Linked DNA regions of Saccharomyces cerevisiae S288C. The protein of the gene in region 1 purifies or fractionates together with the protein of each later gene. This does not show direct contact. Each region holds a gene or a part of one and is shown in the gene's direction. Other genes may lie near its edges. The genes, in order: NOP7, NOP15, RSA4 and TIF6.

Region 1 (5,921 bases):
ATTGAGACTTTCATGAAAAGAACGCAACTGCGCCATATGCCAAAAACTTTCAACCTGTCCAGTGATGACTTGTCCAATATCTATGACATGTTTTACCAAAGTATAGAAACCTACAAAATTAGTATGGGAACGGGATCATCTAATATGGGTTTCGAAGTATTCATTCAGTTCTTGAGTAAATTCTGTGACTCCTGTAGACCGTGTGAAAAGGACAAAGATCCAGCTTTCCGGAAACAAAAAAGGAATTTTCTGCAAAGGTTATTTGATAACTGGGATTCTGCTCATATCGGCGAGTTGACATTGAACGATGTGGTAACAGGCTTGGATAAACTGGTAACTGTTGATCTTTTACAAGCTATAAACTATTTTTTCTCTTTATATGATACAGATGGCGATGGTGAATTGCATAGAGAAGAAGTGCTACAGTTGTCGGAAGGGCTGCTACTGCTAACGGAACCTTGGAAGAGCGGTAGATATGTAGATCTGTTAACTAAAAAGCGCATTGAAGATGATATTGCTGAAAACATCATCAAGGAAAGCGGTGGAGAGATAGCCACTATGAACCAAATCGAGTTACCAACTGGGGTTACTATTGATGAGGAAAAATATAAAGTTGAACAAGCAGAAAGATACCTAAAAGCTGCAAGCAATTTCCTACAAAGATCTTTTGAATATGCTAAAGCAGTTGATCTCGCGGAGGAGGTAAACTTGATTGACTTGTCTGATGATGAAGGCGAAGAAAAGCGAACGGTAAAACAAAAACAACTGGAAAGCATAAAGGCAAATGCAGCCCTAGATCCCACCCATCCAAAAGTAATAGATTTGCCAACATTTAGAATGATCATCCTCGCAGATGAAACTTACGAGCTTTTCTTTTCTAATACTTTACGATCATCTGTTCACGTCGACGAACATGTCAACATTGATAACAAAAATAAAGTCCTCAGAAGTATGTTTGACGGTATATTGGCAGACGGCAAAAGAGTTGCTGAGCAAGTTCGTCGTCGTGTCGATTCGGTGGCAACTAGGAGCAGCATTGCTTCTGTAGAGAGTACGCCAACAGCCGCTGCAAGTTCAATAACTACCAAAGAAGAAAAGTACGATGATCTAGATGATTTCACGTCAGAGCATCAACCCGAGAATGAAGAGTTATTACAAAGTTCCTGGTTTGAGATCGACGATGCCAATGAAACTAGCACTAAAGCCATACAAGAAAGGTCTTTTGAGCCTTTGTCGGCAAATTCCTCGGAAGAGAAGTCCAACCTTATTGAATTTGAAGCATGAAATCGTGCTTATCAATTTTATGTCACCCTAAAACATCTGTACGTGTTTATATAGATATTTAAAGCAATATTTGCCAGGATTTGGTGAAGATCCCTCATATAACTCTCATAAATGCGGATTTTCGGAGCGAAAAAAGCCTAAATTCTTGTCTGGAAGTATAATTGGCGGTGAAATAGAAAAGGTGGCAATCACGACTGAAAAGGGTACAGCTTTCGCAACTGACATATACAGACAGTGAAAAGTAATAAATTGCCCAAGTGTGAACATGTCAGGTGTAAGCTCTGTTATGCTCGGTCTTCGACCTGCTACAAGAATTTTTTTCCGCAGTAATATTTCGGTTTCACCTTCGAGGACTTTTGTATCATATATTGGAAGATCCCAGAGCACGTCGATACTCAAAAATGCTCCCAACTTAGAGGACAATGTCACAAATCTTCAGAAAATTATACCGAAACGGTTCTTTTCTCAAACATCAATTTTGAAATCAAGGTGGAAGCCTATATTCAATGAAGAAACTACTAATCGATACGTACGTTTGAACAGGTTTCAGCAGTACCAGCAGCAGAGAAGCGGCGGCAATCCTCTGGGCTCTATGACTATTTTGGGGCTCTCTTTAATGGCAGGAATATATTTTGGCTCCCCTTATTTGTTCGAGCACGTTCCACCCTTTACGTATTTTAAGACGCATCCAAAGAATCTGGTATACGCGTTATTAGGCATCAATGTTGCCGTATTTGGACTATGGCAGCTACCCAAATGCTGGAGGTTTCTACAGAAGTACATGTTGCTGCAAAAGGATTACGTAACTAGCAAAATTTCGATAATCGGAAGTGCGTTTTCACATCAAGAATTCTGGCACTTAGGTATGAACATGCTAGCGTTGTGGTCCTTTGGTACTTCACTCGCAACAATGTTGGGAGCATCCAATTTTTTCTCCTTATATATGAATAGTGCCATTGCAGGTTCTTTGTTTTCGTTATGGTATCCAAAACTGGCACGCCTAGCCATTGTCGGACCTAGCTTGGGTGCCAGTGGAGCGCTATTTGGGGTTTTAGGATGTTTTTCATATCTATTCCCACACGCTAAAATTTTGCTGTTTGTTTTCCCAGTCCCAGGTGGGGCTTGGGTAGCATTCTTGGCTTCAGTGGCATGGAATGCAGCTGGTTGTGCTTTAAGATGGGGGTCATTTGATTACGCTGCGCATTTAGGTGGCTCTATGATGGGGGTCTTGTACGGATGGTATATAAGTAAAGCTGTAGAGAAACAAAGGCAGCGTCGCCTTCAGGCTGCTGGTAGGTGGTTTTAATCACTTAAAAAAAGACACATTCTCATTCGAAATATTGTAAATACTGCTATGTCTTCTATGTACTTAATCTTATTTATGCATTTGAAAAATATTTCAGCCTTATCGTGGTGGTACATGTACAAGAAAATTCATAGGCAAAAGAATATATAGAATAGAGCGTATGTGTTACTTTTCTAAGTCTTACTTCCTGTTTTTGAGTAGTCCCTCTTTGACAACAAAATATGCATTTTTGGATTCCGCGGCAAGTCCAGTTGCTTTCCAAGATCCGCTAACTTCTCCTAGCTCAGCATCCTGCTTTTGGTGGCTGATGCCTTCAAGTAGCTTTGTGTAGTTCAGCTGTTTCGTATTTCTTTGCACCAACCGAGCATCATATTCCTTGGTGTGCTTTTCACCTTCGACAGGTATGTTATGGAGTTTGTTGATGAATGATAATTGCTTGGCAAGTCGCATTTGAATTTCTTTAATATCTGCTCCTTCCAAGGGAAGACCTGATAACCGCAACAATTTTTTTACAGCTTCAGCAGACGGTGGCTCTAGTTTTTCCTCTTTAGTGTTTATGCCTAAATATTCGTGGACGGACCATACAGGTCTTGATAAATAATCCCTTATTTGATTCATATTTTCAAATTTTTTACCAATCTTTGCCCCTCCCGTAGATACGAACCGATGACTTCCATCATGGCATAACCCACCCACTGTATGTGTTCTGCATAGACGCCATGTTTTGTACATCGTTCTAGCACTATGGGTAAGTGCAAATAGTTCGATCTAAAAGCCTAAATGCTAGTCACTATTACCTCCTTGATGTTATATTTACAGAATAATGTCATGTCGTCTGTGGTGACTATTATTATTGCCTGAAAAAATTAAAGAAAATTTTTTGCGATGAGATGAGATGAGAAAAAATGAAAAATTTTGGAAGGTTAATTAGAGATGTGTAGTAAATCCTGCTGGTGGAATACATTTTATTCCTGTAGAAAATAGTATAGTAACAGCGGTATCCTACTTATACAATGAGAATCAAGAAGAAAAACACCAGAGGTAACGCAAGAAACTTTATTACCAGATCTCAAGCTGTGAGAAAATTACAGGTTTCTCTTGCTGATTTCAGAAGATTATGTATATTCAAAGGTATCTATCCTAGAGAGCCAAGAAATAAAAAGAAGGCAAACAAGGGCTCTACTGCACCAACTACTTTTTACTATGCTAAGGATATTCAATATCTAATGCATGAGCCCGTTTTGGCTAAATTTAGAGAACACAAGACTTTTGCTAGGAAACTAACAAGGGCTTTGGGTAGGGGAGAAGTCTCTTCTGCTAAAAGGTTAGAGGAAAACAGAGATAGTTATACTTTAGACCATATTATCAAGGAGCGTTATCCAAGTTTCCCAGATGCTATAAGGGATATTGATGATGCTTTGAATATGTTATTTCTTTTCTCTAATTTGCCCTCTACCAACCAGGTTTCCTCGAAAATTATCAATGATGCTCAGAAAATCTGTAATCAATGGTTAGCCTATGTTGCCAAGGAACGCTTGGTTCGTAAAGTGTTTGTATCCATTAAAGGTGTTTATTATCAAGCCAATATTAAGGGTGAAGAAGTTAGATGGTTAGTTCCATTCAAGTTTCCAGAAAACATCCCCAGTGACGTTGATTTCAGAATTATGTTGACCTTCTTAGAATTCTACTCGACTCTATTGCATTTCGTCCTATATAAGTTATACACCGATAGTGGGTTGATTTATCCGCCAAAATTGGATCTTAAAAAGGATAAAATCATAAGTGGTTTGTCATCATATATTCTAGAATCCAGACAAGAAGACAGCCTACTAAAACTTGACCCAACTGAGATTGAGGAAGACGTAAAAGTTGAAAGTTTGGACGCATCGACATTAAAGTCTGCCTTGAATGCCGATGAGGCAAATACTGATGAAACAGAAAAGGAGGAAGAACAAGAAAAGAAACAAGAAAAGGAACAAGAAAAGGAACAAAATGAGGAAACGGAACTAGATACTTTCGAGGATAACAATAAGAACAAGGGTGACATCTTAATACAGCCAAGTAAGTACGATTCTCCTGTTGCTTCTTTGTTTTCTGCATTTGTTTTTTACGTTAGCAGAGAAGTTCCGATCGATATTCTTGAGTTCTTGATCTTATCTTGTGGTGGTAATGTCATCAGTGAAGCTGCTATGGACCAAATTGAAAATAAGAAGGATATTGACATGTCCAAGGTCACTCATCAAATTGTTGACAGGCCAGTTTTGAAAAACAAGGTAGCTGGCAGAACGTATATTCAGCCACAGTGGATATTTGATTGTATCAATAAAGGCGAATTGGTACCTGCCAACAAATATCTTCCAGGGGAGGCTCTTCCACCTCACTTAAGCCCATGGGGTGATGCTATTGGTTACGATCCAACTGCTCCTGTCGAAGAAGGCGAAGAAGAAGAAAGTGAAAGTGAAAGTGAAAGTGAAGATCAAGTTGAGGAGGAAGATCAAGAAGTTGTTGCTGGAGAAGAAGATGATGACGATGACGAAGAGCTACAAGCTCAAAAAGAGCTTGAATTGGAAGCACAAGGTATCAAATATTCTGAAACTTCAGAAGCTGATAAGGATGTCAATAAGTCAAAGAACAAAAAGAGAAAGGTGGATGAAGAAGAAGAAGAAAAGAAATTGAAAATGATAATGATGAGTAACAAACAAAAGAAACTTTACAAAAAAATGAAGTATTCTAATGCTAAAAAGGAGGAACAAGCTGAGAACTTAAAAAAGAAAAAGAAGCAAATTGCCAAACAAAAAGCTAAACTGAATAAACTAGATTCCAAGAAATAGTTTTCTCTTCTTTTCCAATAGCCTCTCAAAAATTTTGTCTTTTAATTTAACATCTTTATTACTTTATAATTCCTCGGTATAGCAACATTAGATATATAACTACACATTTTTGTTTGTAGATATAGAAATACCTGTACATTAAAAGTGGTTACTGTTGTTCTGTATAACTATATGAGTGAATTTTGTAAAAATATGCCCAGGTGCCAATGATTATATTAGAATATTTCCATGTGCTACCCTCGAGTCCATTGACTGTCTATCGGGTACACTTAACTCTATATAGCCTTGTAGTTCCTTTTTTAAGTTCATCAAGGCAGTCTCTGTATAGTTTATACGATCGATATCGGTCCCCCTACTAACATTGATGTATGCTTTTAAAAGGAACCCTCCGCTTGTTATTTGTGAATTGCCTGCTTCTTCTATTTGCCAAATTTTTTGTAACTCAAGTATTAAACCATGCTTCATAAAAAATTTCACACCAATTGTAAGATACTGAAATT
Region 2 (5,002 bases), on another chromosome or scaffold:
ATCTTCATTTTGTGGGCCCCTGACAAAAATTGTCCATAAATGAGTATGTTCGGCAGGAGCATTTGGTGGTTTAACGCTACCCATCTTTTTAGCCGTATTGCCATATATTATTGGTCTGCTCACGGAGAGAGTTTTTATCCTTTTGCTTATTGTCGGAGCCATCTCGCTTTCTTTGTGATGCCGTAAATAGGTGGTCACAAGTAATGTATCTATCCCTCTAGCTTTCGAAGGCTACTTGTTCAGTTGCACATAGAAGACATCTAAACTCTGGAAAAATAATCAATGGTGCCGAAGCGTCATCACGTCATCCGAATAGCGGATATTTCGAAATTTATAAAAAAGCTTTGAAAACAATCCTAGAAGTAAAGCAGTTTCGTTCAATATGTAAGACGTTCAATTAGTTGTACAAGAGGTTAAAATAGTGCTATAAATTATGGCTATCGAAAATATATACATTGCCAGACATGGTTACAGGTCAAACTGGCTACCAAAGGGACCATATCCACCACCGCCCACCGGTATTGATAACGATGTCCCGCTTTCGGAACACGGTGTTGAACAGGCACATGAACTGGCGAACTATATCTCTAAATTAGATGTCAAACCAGAAATGATTTTCTCCTCCCCATTTTACCGCTGTTTAGAAACTAGTAAACCCACAGTGGAGGCTTTAAAGATTCCATTATATGTCGATCGTGGTGTAGGAGAATGGTATAAGCCTGATAGACCCATTATCCCGGAGCCTGCTACTCATGAAGTTATGAGTAAGTTTTTTCCAAGCATGATCTCTCCAGACTGGGAACCTAGTATTATTCCTAGTAATAAGGGTGAAACAGAAGAAGATATTTTTGAGAGGTGCCATAAATTCTGGCCTGTCTTTATTGACAGAGTGGAGAGAAAATTTCCAAATGTAAAGACCATTATGATAGTTACCCACGCAGCCACTAAATCCGCTCTTGGTATGAACTTGTTGAAATTCTCCAGTGCCAAAGAGCCCATTGATAACAAAGGCACCTTTATAAGAAATGGAAGTTGTGCTATTGATAAATTTGAGCTGGTGAAAGGAGAAAATGAAAGTATACCATTTGAAGAGAGAGAGTGGAAACTTACAATGAATGGCAACACCTCCTTTTTAACTAATGGGGAAGAAATGAATTGGACGTTTATGAATGCCTTTGAGGCTGGTTCAGACGCTGATATCAAAGCGAGAAGAGCAGCTGAGAGCGGAAAACTAAAAATGGAGTGAAAACTAAAGTGAGTCTTGAATTCTGTACTTCTCATTATACACTTCTGCATTTGATTTTTATTTCATGATGAAGCTGTGTGAATATATATATATATATACATATGTCAAAGTCTAGTGTAAATTGATAGAATTAACAGTATCTTTTAATATCCCTAAACTTCAAAATTCAAGGTTCAACGATTGAAAGATGAGCTGTCTAGGTAGTAGTACCGAAACCTTTCGAGTTTTGTGCTATCTCTGAAAACTCATTATCCTGCTAAACCCTTTCTAATGTGCATAGCAGCTATTGCAACTTTAGCATCCTCATTACAGACGGCATAGCAGAGACGTATGCGGTTACCCCCCAGATTTTGCCTGTTTCTTTTCACTATGAAAAATTTTCCGCCATAAGAAAAAATGAAGTAGTGCATCGCATCTCATCTCATCACTTAATTTGAAGACGATTACCATTACTTTTAACTTCATTAACTACCTTTTCTATAGGGTTAAGTTCTAGAGATAAAATAACAGAGGAAAGAGATCGATATGGTAAAGTCAACAAGCAAAACTTCCACCAAGGAAACAGTAACCAAACAACCCACCGAAGAAAAACCTATACAGGAGAAAGAAGAGTTGGCTCTAGAAACATCGTCTAGCAGTTCAGATGAAGAAGACGAAAAAGATGAAGATGAAATTGAAGGTTTAGCCGCTTCTGATGATGAGCAGAGCGGTACACACAAGATTAAAAGATTGAATCCTAAGAAGCAGGCTAATGAAAAAAAGTCGAAAGATAAAAAGACACTTGAAGAGTATTCTGGGATTATTTATGTGAGTAGACTGCCACATGGGTTCCACGAAAAGGAATTAAGTAAATATTTTGCTCAATTCGGTGATTTAAAAGAAGTGAGATTAGCACGTAATAAGAAAACTGGAAATTCCAGACATTATGGCTTCTTAGAATTCGTTAATAAAGAGGATGCAATGATCGCCCAAGAATCTATGAACAATTACTTGTTGATGGGTCATCTACTACAAGTGCGTGTATTACCAAAAGGAGCTAAAATCGAGAAATTGTACAAATACAAGAAGAGAGTTCTAGTAGAGAAAGGTATCACCAAACCAGTAAAACAGCTAAAGGATAACATGAAGCAAAAACATGAAGAAAGGATAAAAAAATTAGCCAAGTCAGGTATCGAATTCAAATGGTGACTTGTCACTTCTCATCCACCCTGAGAAAAGGGTTTTGTAAGATAGAATAGGAGATATAGCAAACTTGGGAAACCATTTATATCATTAATTCCAGCAATATAGTTCCGTTTGTCCGTATTCAATGATATTTACATGATTGCTTTTACGAAGATTCAACGACCAAAATCACGGAGCGGGTAATAGCCTGGAGTTTCCGGATGAAAAATTTAACGGCCCAGAAAAAGAACAATAGCTGCAAAAAAGAAAGCTATACGAGATCGAGATAGTGAGAGAGGTTAGCATAACGAGAAAATTTTTGTCGCATTCGTGGCCAAAAAGCGATATTTGAGAAGCATTGTTATTATATCAATAAATAACAAATATATATATTGTCCTTTTTCCAATAACTATATAAAGAACAAGAAGCTTTTGAAACTTTCTCAAAAATTTTCGTTCAGGCTTCCTCGTTAATATTTAAATTCGATTTTCATTTTCTTCATAGTAAAGAAAATCAATCAACTACAACATAAAATATCAAACAATCATGCCTAAAGTTTACAGTTACCAAGAAGTTGCCGAACACAATGGCCCAGAAAATTTCTGGATTATCATCGATGACAAAGTTTACGATGTTTCTCAATTCAAAGATGAACATCCAGGTGGTGATGAAATTATAATGGATTTGGGTGGACAAGATGCTACAGAAAGCTTTGTCGATATCGGTCATTCTGACGAAGCATTGAGACTACTGAAAGGTTTATACATTGGTGACGTTGACAAGACCAGTGAGCGCGTTTCTGTGGAAAAGGTATCTACCTCTGAAAACCAAAGTAAAGGTAGTGGTACATTGGTTGTCATATTGGCCATTTTAATGCTAGGTGTTGCTTATTATTTGTTGAACGAATAATTTTTCTTCCAGAATAGCCCACACTCTTCTCCAAACTCAATTGAATTTTTCGTTTCAGTTTATTAAATTATTTATTTACAAGCAATCAAGGCCAAATTAATGTCTTACAACATTAACTTATGCTACTATATCGCATAGAAGTATGTCACTGTATCATAGAATCTGCCTGGCAGATAGAATTATTATAAATTAATATGTATATACTTATCTTTGTGTATGGCTAAAAATCATCGTCTTAGATAAAAAAAAAAAAGGCAAATAAAGCTCTGCTCTTACTTCAATACGATCAACCTGGTTGTCGTGCATTTCGCTCATTCTAAAATGACCCATAAGCGCTAGTGCACGACTTCTTTGTAAGTCTACTGTTTTTTTGAAAATCATTCGTTTAACATCGGCCCCAGGGTTGTACGAGAACAAAGAAAAGTGTCTGTCCTATTATTTTACGGCACACTAAGCGTTATGCGAAATAACTTCAATCCAGTTGCCACCGTTCACCCAAAAACTTAGGAGTATTAAAGAAAAAGTGTGACGAAGAGCTTTAAAATATTAAAAATGTAGTATACAGCAAATAAAATTTTATCATGCATTGAAGAAATAAGGTGCAGTCAACTTATATAATTATTATTAATAGAGATGAATGAATTGAATCACTTTGACTTCAATAGTTTGAACGACCTCTGTTACCCCAGCCACCATCTCTCTGCCTGTTACCGCCGTAACCACCACGGCCACCACCGTAACCACCTCTACGGCCATAGCCACCACGACCACCACGACCACCACCGTATCTTGGGTGACCGCCACCATAAGATCTCCTGTCGTATTTCAATAATTCGGGAGGAATATTTTGATTAGCTTCTCTCATGATAGAGATTAATTTAGCACCTAAACCTTTGTTTTGTTCGGTGAAGAAAGATATAGCAGTACCAGTAGCACCTGCTCTACCAGTTCTACCGATTCTGTGAACATAATCTTCAATGTTACCTGGCATATCGTAGTTGATAACGTAATTGATACCTTTGACATCTGAAAAAATAAAGAAGTAAACAAACGTTTACAAAGCATACTGTTAGTAATTTGGTTCGTTATTCTGTATATGAACTTTATTTTCATGCCCCCCACAAATTCATGTTTGGACTCCCAACATTGTCTCAAATTTCCCCCTGGCTTGAAGATTATCAGAAATTATATTTTTATTAAAGAATTCGAAATATTTAATCATCAATACTCCAGAATCCTTATTCAAACTGAATGAAAGCTAGCACTTAAAAAAAGGAAAACAAAGTAAATGATTTCTGAATATGGTTGAAATCCTTTTATTTTGTTATTTTCCATTTTTATCAGCACTTCTTAATAATTCGAACTTGGGATGCAACAGTATCTCAATATAACTACAAAATGCATAAACTACACAAAATGAGAATAACAATAGTCAAGAAGGATGACGGCATTTCAAAGTAGAATATACTATTATTTTTCCAATAAAACAATCTACCCTTGTACAAATGCCAAGCATTGAAAAAAACAACGATCAACGAAGCGTATGTATGCGTTCTAGAAATAAGCTGAAAAGCCAATTCCTTGTTTATTTGCGCCGATGTCAAAAAGCGAAATTTCTTTTGACATGAAGTGCAAATCATGAACACAAATACACTTCTCCGAGTTTATAATTTCCCGTCTCT
Region 3 (5,707 bases), on another chromosome or scaffold:
CAAAATTCTGCTGTTTATCAGATTAATCATAATGCACAACTTGTTAAAAAGTTAAAAGATGCTCACTATTTTTTGGTATACTCCGGTAACACTTTTGAGTCTAGTGGTGTATATATGTTTGCTGCTCCTGAATTATTAGGTTGTGACAATGATACCATCTTAAGAATTTTGCGAAATAAATCCATTGGCTGTGATTTGGTCCCAAAGCTTGACATTGGAAATAATTTGAATGTGTATGATATAACAACAAAAGAAACAGATTTGAACATTCTAGTATCGAAAGGGGAGGATTCCAAAGGAATTCCTTACTACCGAGTAGTAGCAAATTCGTCAAGTGATTTGGACAGGCATGCTCATCAGTCCAAAAAGAAGAATTTTTCAACAGACCCTTTTGATCAGCACCTTGATGAAAAGAACAATGAAGTTTTTGAATTGGAAGTTGCTTTGAGCTCATTGGGTGCACTAGTTGTACTATATCCTGGAGAGCCAGTAGTTTGGGATGGACCAGTATATAAGCTTCCAGGTAACAACCTTTTTGCATCCAACGAAATGGATTTAGGGAAAATTGGTAACCCAAATACGTTGATTTTACTCAATCAAGGTTCTAATTATGCACTGACTTATCAAATCGACAAGTTTAATCAAACGGTAGGTGATTCTGTTTCATTCATAGAGAAACGTTGTTCACTCAATTCAATTGAATCCTCCCTACAAAAAATCAATAAGGCATATTACAAACTTACTTATACAGTATTGAACAACTACAAAGGAATTCTAGGTAGCTTTATGAAGCAATGTCCGGGAAATGAGTTGTTAAATTCGATATTCATGTTTGGAAGGGATTTTGGAAGAAGTTTCCTTAAATATAACGCCTTTAGCTCAAAGAGGAAGTACGTTATCATCTTTCTGATGGTTAAATTAGGAATGAACTGGTTGAAATTCCTTGTTGAAGAGTGTGATCCTACCGATCAGCGAACTTTCCGATGGTGCGTTCTTGCAATGGATTTTGCGATGCAGATGACTAGTGGTTATAATATCCTGGCGCTGAATGTAAAGCAATTTCAAGAACTGAAGGAGAGGGTATCAGTATGTATGTCATTATTAATTTCACATTTCGACGTTATGGGTGCACGAGCCACTGAAGCTGAAAATGGCATGCAACAGGCAAGATTGAATATTGATACTGAAGAGAATATTGATGAAGAGGCCACCCTAGAAATAAACAGCAGGTTGAGACTGGAAGCTATAAAGACGTTGGAAAAGACTATGAAGAGGAATCCCAGGCAAATGGGTAAGGTATTGGATGCTACAGATCAGGGAAACAAATACCTACTATCGCTAGCATCCTCATTATCGAATGTATCAATGAGGTGGCAAAAAAGAAGCTTCATTGGCGGTGGAACATTTGGACAGGTATACTCTGCAATTAATCTGGAAAACGGTGAAATCTTAGCTGTTAAGGAAATAAAGATACACGATACCACAACAATGAAGAAGATTTTTCCCCTGATTAAAGAAGAGATGACCGTATTGGAAATGTTAAACCATCCTAATATTGTCCAGTACTATGGTGTCGAAGTACATCGCGATAAAGTTAACATCTTCATGGAATACTGTGAGGGTGGTTCTTTAGCCTCGTTATTGGATCATGGAAGAATTGAAGATGAAATGGTAACACAAGTGTACACATTCGAACTATTAGAAGGTTTGGCATATTTGCACCAATCTGGCGTGGTGCATCGCGACATTAAACCGGAGAATATCTTGCTGGATTTCAATGGAATCATAAAATATGTGGATTTTGGTACGGCACGTACCGTTGTAGGATCTAGGACTAGAACTGTGCGGAACGCAGCCGTTCAAGATTTTGGAGTAGAAACAAAGTCCCTCAATGAAATGATGGGGACACCGATGTATATGGCTCCAGAGACTATTTCAGGCTCGGCAGTTAAGGGAAAACTTGGAGCGGACGATGTATGGGCATTAGGATGTGTTGTGCTAGAAATGGCCACAGGTAGACGACCTTGGTCTAACTTGGATAATGAATGGGCCATCATGTACCACGTTGCTGCAGGTCGAATACCGCAACTACCCAATAGAGACGAAATGACTGCAGCGGGAAGAGCCTTCTTGGAAAGGTGTTTGGTTCAAGACCCCACTATGAGGGCTACTGCTGTGGAACTACTGATAGACCCTTGGATGATACAAATCCGTGAAATAGCATTTGGCAACTCAGAGAAAGATCAAGTACCTATCCTAAGCTCATAGAGTGGTCAACGTCTAAAAATATGATATACTACGATATATAATGTAATGTAATTCAATAATGGTGATGAAGGCAAGATTTCATTTAGAGCTGTTACCCGAGAAACCGGTGAAAAATTTTAAAATGAAAAAAAAAAAAAAAATGCGATGAGCTTCAAAAAGAGTATCTTTAAAAGACATATATCACAAGATTTTTATATTTGTAACCTCGATAAACACACACTAACACAATATACAGATGTCCACCCTGATTCCTCCACCTTCTAAGAAACAAAAGAAAGAGGCTCAACTTCCCAGAGAAGTAGCTATTATTCCGAAAGATTTACCCAATGTTTCAATCAAGTTCCAAGCTTTAGATACTGGTGACAATGTAGGTGGCGCCCTGAGAGTTCCCGGTGCTATCTCCGAGAAACAGTTAGAAGAACTTTTAAATCAATTGAACGGTACTTCAGACGATCCAGTGCCATATACCTTCAGCTGTACAATTCAAGGTAAGAAGGCCAGTGACCCTGTGAAGACGATTGATATAACAGATAACCTATATTCTTCATTAATAAAACCAGGCTATAACAGTACAGAAGATCAGATCACGCTACTGTATACGCCAAGAGCAGTTTTCAAAGTCAAGCCGGTAACTAGAAGTTCATCAGCCATTGCAGGTCACGGTTCCACAATTTTGTGTTCTGCCTTCGCACCACATACGAGTTCTAGGATGGTAACCGGTGCAGGTGATAATACTGCAAGGATTTGGGACTGTGACACCCAAACGCCAATGCATACTCTAAAGGGTCACTACAATTGGGTTCTCTGCGTTTCCTGGTCCCCCGATGGAGAAGTAATTGCTACGGGATCCATGGACAATACCATAAGATTATGGGACCCAAAAAGCGGTCAGTGTCTAGGTGATGCTCTCAGAGGTCATTCCAAGTGGATCACTTCTTTAAGTTGGGAACCTATACATCTTGTGAAGCCGGGCTCCAAACCAAGATTAGCTTCATCTTCTAAGGATGGTACTATTAAGATTTGGGACACTGTGAGCAGAGTTTGCCAGTATACGATGAGTGGTCACACAAATTCAGTGTCTTGTGTCAAATGGGGCGGCCAAGGTCTATTGTATAGTGGCTCTCACGATAGAACCGTACGTGTATGGGACATCAATTCGCAGGGCAGATGTATCAACATTTTGAAGTCGCATGCGCACTGGGTTAATCACTTATCTTTATCTACAGATTACGCATTGCGCATTGGTGCATTCGATCATACAGGTAAGAAGCCTTCTACACCAGAAGAAGCCCAGAAAAAGGCATTGGAAAATTATGAAAAAATCTGTAAAAAGAATGGAAATTCAGAAGAAATGATGGTTACTGCAAGCGATGATTATACCATGTTTTTATGGAACCCACTAAAATCTACCAAGCCTATAGCAAGAATGACCGGTCACCAAAAATTAGTCAATCATGTGGCGTTCAGCCCTGATGGTAGGTATATTGTCTCAGCGTCTTTTGATAACTCTATCAAACTTTGGGACGGTAGAGATGGTAAGTTTATCTCCACATTTAGAGGGCATGTAGCCAGCGTATACCAGGTTGCGTGGTCATCGGACTGCCGACTACTGGTGTCATGTTCCAAAGATACCACGTTGAAAGTGTGGGATGTAAGAACTAGAAAACTTTCTGTTGACCTCCCTGGTCATAAAGACGAAGTTTATACCGTCGACTGGAGTGTCGACGGTAAAAGAGTGTGTAGTGGTGGGAAAGACAAGATGGTAAGATTGTGGACGCATTGAGTTATGTGCAAAGACAAGTAACATACATGCACATATAAATATTATATAACTGTGATATAGAACTGCATTTTTTTCTTTTTGAATATTAAATATGATGGTGTCGCAAGGTCGATCTATAATGGTCATCGCGTACGAATGGCTTGGTATGAATTTAAAATATGGTACTATAAGCAGTATAGCTCCAGCAAGAAGGAAAACCTTTTGAAAGAAGTGCCCGTTTACCTAAAGCAACTTACTCCAAGGTAGCGTGTGAGCAAAACTATGATCAGTTCGTGTGTTACTAGATGTTTTGGTAGGGGTAAATGCCTTCCAGGGCCTGCCACTGCCTCGATATACCAAACGATAAGATGTATATCCACTAATTCAAATAAAGCTGCTGAGGCGCCAATATTTCCAAAGCTGGAAGACGTGAAGATGCATGAGCTCATAGGAAACAACAATTTTGGTAAAAAGACCTACTACGTGGAGAGAAGCAGGACCGGAAATCTACCGGTGTATTCCGCTTATAAAAATGGAGGTAACAAGATTATCACGGAGATCAGAAAGATTGAAGGAGATGTAATTCAACTAAGAAATGACTTGCAGGAGCAACTGCCTTTCATACCCAAAAAATCATGGTCTGTGGTGATGCAATCGAAAAAAATTATTATCAAGGGCAATGCAGTAGAGGCTGTCAAAAGGGTATTAACCAAGAAATTTTAGGTATCGCTAATGTATAAAAAAATAATTGTCATGTATATATATTAATTAAAATCATAGCCATGTGGTCATCAAGCCATCGAAAAGAAGTTGCTTACTTGTGTCTTAATGAAACCGTATGAGGCTTTTCGTGCATGCCCTTGTAGGCAATGAAACAAAGGCCAAGAACAGTTAAACACATCAAGGCTCTGGAAATTGGGTGGTTTAAATCATAGGCGGTGGTTCCAGTGGAGGTGGTTAAAGGTGTGTAGGCTTTATCGTTACGGAAGATGTTTTCCAAAGTGGAGCCAACAGACACATCGCCATTTCTAAACTTCTCGACTTTTTCTGTGTACGCAGCGTGCAAATCTAAGATGTTACTAATTTTTAAGATTTCTAGAACGAAATACAGGAACCGTAATTCATGCTGAGGCTTTCCATATTCGTCTGTTTCTGTGTATTGAATAGCATCCATTAGTTGATCTAGACCAGAAGTTATTTGACCAAACACGACACTTTTGCCATCCAATTCCTCATTTCCATCGGCTTTAGTGGTGATGATGAATTCCGAGGTGTTAGAATCAGGTCCAAAATAGGCCATTGCGAGTCTTTCAGGCCTGTCATGTTTTAAGTAAAAGTTTTCGTCATCAAATTTGGGCCCATAGACGGTGAAAGGACCCACATCTGGGGCAACCACACCACCCTGGATATACTTGTTAGGGTAAACCTTGTTGATTTTGGTCTTACGGTACGAGTAAGTATGTATATCATTGGGATCTTTCCCTTCGATAACTGCCTTAACACCATGGGCCAGCATAGCAAAGTTGTTCACAGTTTTGGGCACGACAGTACCGTACAACTCAAAAGTCAGATCCGCCTCTTTCATCGACTTCGAAACGGGATCAAAGTATTCGATAGTGATTATTCCACGATGTGTGGCGGGGGGACTGGGCTCATATTTTTTCTGAAGATCAACAT
Region 4 (5,185 bases), on another chromosome or scaffold:
TTTCTGTGTTTCTCTTCTGCACGTTGCTGCTTTTTTAGTTCCTTTTCTCTTTTAGCTTCTTCCTTTTTCGATGAGGAAAGTTCTCTCTTAGAGCATGGAGAAGAGCTTCTGCTTTTTGTCTCGATAGCTATTATATTTCCATTGGGTACTTGTTTGTTGGTGTTTCTATCGTATTTTGTACTTTGTATGGGTGAATTTTTGTAGCATAAAAGCTTGTCTTCAGCATTGGCCTTCTTAGGTGTCGTTTTCATTTCATCTGCACACTCTTTATTGATGCTTTTCATGGTTTCTTGTTTAACAGTTTCTATCATAGGTCCACTGACATCCTCTTTAGGATCATCTAGAGTGATGACATCCTTCTCTTTCGTGAGAAACTTATTACTCTTTACCGTAGTTGTATTCTGGAAAAAAGATAGTATGCCTTTTTTCTTAGTGTCGTCCTGTAGAGGAATTGATTTGAGATGTTGCTCCATTTTCCCTTTTCCTTTCGATTCTCTTCTGTCTTGAGGTTCACTAAAACATATAATTCTCTGTAACAGCAATAACAGAATGTTCTTCTCCTCAACGAATTGGCTGGAAAAATGATGTATTTCAAGAAGTGGAACCAATAAGAATTTTATTTTTTAGTCAGTTCGCAAACCTTTTGGTTTAACGATGTAGATCTTTCTTTTTTTCAGTTGAAGCCTTTCACGCGTCCGAACGCGTGAGCATATATGCAAGCCGTCTGACACTATAGATCGCGCCAGGTAGGGAACCACTTGATCCAGCACGATGAGCCCGACAACTCAAAACTCCCTTCTTCTGTATCAAAATACTTTTCAGCATATCCATATCATTCTTCCTTTCTCTTCGTAAAGGCTGACTGGGCGCCGGGGACCCGCTAGTTTAGTAGTACTGTGAATATCGTCATTGTCGTACTGAACGATTATATATCGATCATTTTAATTAATGAAGTACATATCAAAAACTTGACTGGTATGAGTAGAAAGTTCAATTAAAAGGGCTGGAAAAATGGGGGAATAACAGAGAACATGAGCAAGGCTACGTGTTCCTTTGAGGGCTGTCATAGTGCAGTTATTACCATCAACGATGATAACATAATAAACTTACCAGAGCAGGTGCACAGCGAATTCAAGTTGCTGGAAAACAGAACTATGCGAGATGCTACCCCCAGCGAGAGCAACTTCTTGGTCGTCCCTGATGTTTGGGACTTTGATAATGTTGGTGTATCTAGAGAAATTCCTTCTTCTATATTAGGGGATTTGAGTGATAAGAGTGATTTTGTCTTTGAGTATGGTAATTCCAGCTGGAAGATTAAAAAGTGCTTGAAATATTTGATATGCGCTGATTGTGATAAAGGTCCTATTGGAATAATATGTAAGGTGCAAGATCAGACAAAGAATGAAGAAAGAGTTTTGCATCTACTAAGCTTGCGAAGCCTTCAAATTATGGGAAGGAATTAGTTTGGTAGGCACTAGAACAAAAATAGGTTGCCGCCACCAGAAAAAAAAAAGAGTAACCAACCACCTATTTCACTGGCATGGGCCACCTATAACAAGCTATAGAAGTAGTTCTGGTTTACATTACTAGCATCACTTTATGTAATAATATAGGCATTCTGGACGAAATCCTAATGGATGAGCATTACCCGTTTTTTCCGAGGGCCAAACGAAAATTTTCGGAAAATTTTTATTAATTAAAGATTTAAACCCATATTCCTTTGTGCAGATTTTTTCTTTTACTGTATGTAACGCAATATTCAATATTGCATAATTAAAAGAAGCCTCATCCCTCGTTGGTCTTATAGTATAATTACAAGAAGCAATACGACAGAGTATTTGGAACAAGAGCATAATTCAACTAACTCTAGAAAACAATAATGGCTACCAGGACTCAATTTGAAAACTCCAATGAAATCGGTGTATTCTCCAAATTAACGAATACTTACTGTTTGGTTGCTGTTGGTGGTTCTGAAAACTTTTACTCTGCATTTGAAGCTGAATTAGGAGATGCTATTCCCATCGTTCATACCACTATTGCTGGTACGCGTATCATCGGTAGAATGACCGCGGGTAACCGTAGAGGTCTGCTAGTTCCAACCCAAACTACTGATCAAGAATTACAACATTTAAGAAATAGTTTGCCGGATTCCGTTAAGATTCAAAGGGTAGAGGAAAGACTATCTGCCTTGGGTAACGTCATCTGTTGTAATGATTACGTTGCTTTAGTGCATCCAGATATCGACAGAGAAACTGAAGAATTGATAAGTGATGTACTAGGCGTTGAGGTCTTCCGTCAAACCATATCAGGTAATATCTTAGTTGGGTCATATTGTTCTTTAAGTAATCAAGGTGGGTTAGTGCATCCACAAACAAGTGTCCAAGATCAAGAAGAATTGTCCTCCTTATTACAAGTTCCTTTGGTGGCTGGTACCGTTAACCGTGGTAGTTCAGTTGTCGGTGCCGGTATGGTTGTGAACGATTACTTGGCAGTTACAGGTCTGGATACTACAGCCCCAGAATTGAGTGTTATTGAAAGTATTTTCCGCTTGCAAGATGCCCAACCAGAATCCATTTCAGGTAACCTACGTGATACTTTGATTGAAACCTACTCATAGATGTCAGGTACTCCTGAGGGGATTCCCCTCCTTCCTCAAGTCTGTTTACAGTTGTATGCGAAAGAGTCCCCATGTTGCAATAATCTTCTTACGTATCATTTGTGGTATTTTTTTTGGTATAACAAATATTTTTTCTTAGGTTTCTATGCATTTTAATTTTAGTTGTATGTATATTATGTACTCTTTTATTTTTTTTTTTTTTCTTATACCTATGGGTGACTATTCATTGCAGTTTAAGTAGGCGTCTTAATTGTAACATGTAGTCACTTTGTTCGAAGCATATGTAACGGGTTTCTAAGCAAATTCTTTGCATAATATGGATTTTCCGTCCGCTTCTCCGACTATTCTGACAACTTGCTCAGTTCCAAGTATCTGTTAGACAATATAGAACTTCTCCAAGAAAAATTGCACCGCACGTAGACCATTTGAAGGCTTTTTTGTCTAGCTGCTAGGACATACTATTGTCTCCACCAGAACCCGGAGAGTAGTATCTCTTGGCAAAGATTAATAAAATCGAACAAAGCTAATAGAACACCGGGGGTTGTGCGGTAAGATTTTCACAAGCGGTACAGAAGTGAGCCGTAAAATTATATATATATATATATATATATGGTGTACAACAAGTCAGCCGTCCATTTATGTGCTATCAAGCGAACTACGTTTCATCTCTTCAACTTGGTAGTTCTTGAGATATAAACACCCTGATCCATCGTACTCACTGAAATAGCAACAACTCCCTGAGTTCCATTGCCACGCATACCCACTCTCATATCCAGAAACAGCTAGTATTTCGATGTTTTTCCGCTCGAAGAAACTTCCGTAGTATTGTTGAGGTGTTGGGGGCATCGTTCCTTTTCGTACGCCAAAAATTCTTCCTCTATTGTTTCCAGAAAATCGTTGCAAAAAAATAAGTCCGCCACGCTGTTTTCTGTGACAACTCTATCTGGAGCCTTCACTAATGGTTTAAAAGGCACGATTTCCACAGAAAGTTTCGCAGCACTTGTTTGTACAAGGAGCGTAAAGCACCGGAAATCTTTTCCCACTGAAACCCTAAATATGAACGGCATTTGGTTGCCATGAGATACAGTCCCAAGAATTCTTTATATTATATAAGCGCTAGTTGTTGTCGCTCTTTTGACCTCATTGGTAGATATTTCAAATTACAAAATTATAATTGTTTTCTTGGTCCAACTTTTTTCTTCTTTTTGGAGGGCATTGCAAGGATCCAATACGATAAGCAAACGTCTTCATTGACCCGTTTCTAACTTTTAATATACATAAATTTTCATCTTCAACACTAATTAAATGTGGAGAACAAAAACGCTAGAATCTATGCTTTGTAGCCCAATGAAATGTTCATCGTCTAACATAGGGGGATCCTATGCGCAATCTTCAAAGGAAGTCTCGAACACGACCAAAAGGGAAGTGCATCTTCCACCTTGTTCGTCGATTATGCACGCTCCACTTACTCCTGAAATAAACCAGGCCGCACTACCACCTCCCGCTTACCATTACGCACCTTCTTCTCTGCATCAGACAGAGGATCCCGTATGGAGATCAAGTCCCAACTCTATTATCTTTTCGCCGGTTATAGCAACACCGCAACCTTTCCCTTTAACGTTCGTTGAACGTCAATCTTGTTGCCCTATTTATTCAACGGCAGCTTCCTCTTATACTGCCCAATCTGTACCTCCATCAATGCAGCATTTTCAGGAGGAAAACCACAGAGCGGTGAGCAACGAGCAGTACTCCCTCCCGAATGTGCATATAGGGCAAAATCCTGGGACGCTATTATCCCAAACACAAACCGACTTAGATCTTATACAAAAGCAACTGCGCGCTGTGGTAAAGCTACGGAAACAATGTCCTATCTGTGGGAAGGTTTGTTCGAGACCTTCAACACTGAGGACTCATTACTTAATACATACGGGAGACACACCTTTCAAATGTACTTGGGAGCATTGCAACAAATCTTTCAATGTCAAGAGTAACATGTTAAGGCATTTAAGAACCCATCAAAAGAAAATAGCAAAGAAAAAACATCAGTGAAAGCATTGTTTAGAATATTTTGTTTTCAGTGTGATTTTGATGTAGGTGTGACACTTTTTACCAAGTAAAATGAGTATAGATATGTATTAGTTCCATATAATATATTACATGTAGCCAACAATCAATTTTTACTGACTTCCGATTTTTGAATAGTGAGAGGATTTTTGTTCGAATTATAATTTCTACAAGAAATTTGTTTGCGAATGCATCAGCATTTGTAATACGGTTCTATACTGCCGCACGATACATTTTATTCTGTCTAGTTCGTAAGACAAAGGACCTTTTCATTTAGTACAACGTTGCCGACACGGATGTCTTGATGAATCTCTGTACCAGGAATTCAATTACCTGACTAGTATGCAGTTCACTATCAAAAAAAAAAAAAAGGTTAAATTGGTATAATCATGGTTAAAGAACAAACAGCCTCTTTCCTCTACAAAAGTATGTTAAATGTAGGTAGTTCAAATTGCGGTCACGTATATGCCAACGTTGTTAATATATAATGATCCATTGGAACAA

Evidence for each region.
Region 2: the proteins of NOP7 (region 1) and NOP15 purify together in Saccharomyces cerevisiae (affinity purification with mass spectrometry; 10 studies listed by BioGRID, with this or other methods). This does not show direct contact.
Region 3: the proteins of NOP7 (region 1) and RSA4 purify together in Saccharomyces cerevisiae (affinity purification with mass spectrometry; 7 studies listed by BioGRID, with this or other methods). This does not show direct contact.
Region 4: the proteins of NOP7 (region 1) and TIF6 purify together in Saccharomyces cerevisiae (affinity purification with mass spectrometry; 13 studies listed by BioGRID, with this or other methods). This does not show direct contact.

The regions. Positions count from the first base shown.
Region 1 is NC_001139.9:691,814-697,734, forward strand, and holds NOP7 (mRNA-binding ribosome synthesis protein NOP7), read left to right. Parts: upstream 1-3,603; coding exon 3,604-5,421; downstream 5,422-5,921. Other genes in the region: GTPase-activating protein MDR1, read left to right, coding at 1-1,284; rhomboid protease PCP1, read left to right, coding at 1,550-2,590; GTF1 (glutamyl-tRNA(Gln) amidotransferase subunit F), read right to left, coding at 2,771-3,322; SRB5 (Srb5p), read right to left, coding at 5,632-5,921. UniProt on the Saccharomyces cerevisiae protein: Component of the NOP7 complex, which is required for maturation of the 25S and 5.8S ribosomal RNAs and formation of the 60S ribosome.
Region 2 is NC_001146.8:415,258-420,259, reverse strand, and holds NOP15 (rRNA-binding ribosome biosynthesis protein NOP15), read left to right. Parts: upstream 1-1,771; coding exon 1,772-2,434; downstream 2,435-5,002. Other genes in the region: YEATS domain-containing protein YAF9, read right to left, coding at 1-162; YNL108C (uncharacterized protein), read left to right, coding at 434-1,246; CYB5 (Cyb5p), read left to right, coding at 2,958-3,320; DEAD-box ATP-dependent RNA helicase DBP2, read right to left, coding at 3,979-4,346. UniProt on the Saccharomyces cerevisiae protein: Involved in the biogenesis of the 60S ribosomal subunit. Required for pre-rRNA processing and cytokinesis. Associates with the precursors of the 25S and 5.8S rRNAs.
Region 3 is NC_001135.5:239,149-244,855, reverse strand, and holds RSA4 (Rsa4p), read left to right. Parts: upstream 1-2,503; coding exon 2,504-4,051; downstream 4,052-5,707. Other genes in the region: mitogen-activated protein kinase kinase kinase SSK22, read left to right, coding at 1-2,268; mitochondrial 54S ribosomal protein mL49 IMG2, read left to right, coding at 4,313-4,753; peptidylprolyl isomerase family protein CPR4, read right to left, coding at 4,845-5,707. UniProt on the Saccharomyces cerevisiae protein: Involved in ribosome biogenesis. Required for processing and efficient intra-nuclear transport of pre-60S ribosomal subunits.
Region 4 is NC_001148.4:589,764-594,948, reverse strand, and holds TIF6 (translation initiation factor 6), read left to right. Parts: upstream 1-1,879; coding exon 1,880-2,617; downstream 2,618-5,185. Other genes in the region: RLF2 (Rlf2p), read right to left, coding at 1-473; guanine nucleotide exchange factor DSS4, read left to right, coding at 1,032-1,463; YPR015C (uncharacterized protein), read left to right, coding at 3,923-4,666. UniProt on the Saccharomyces cerevisiae protein: Binds to the 60S ribosomal subunit and prevents its association with the 40S ribosomal subunit to form the 80S initiation complex in the cytoplasm. Is also involved in ribosome biogenesis.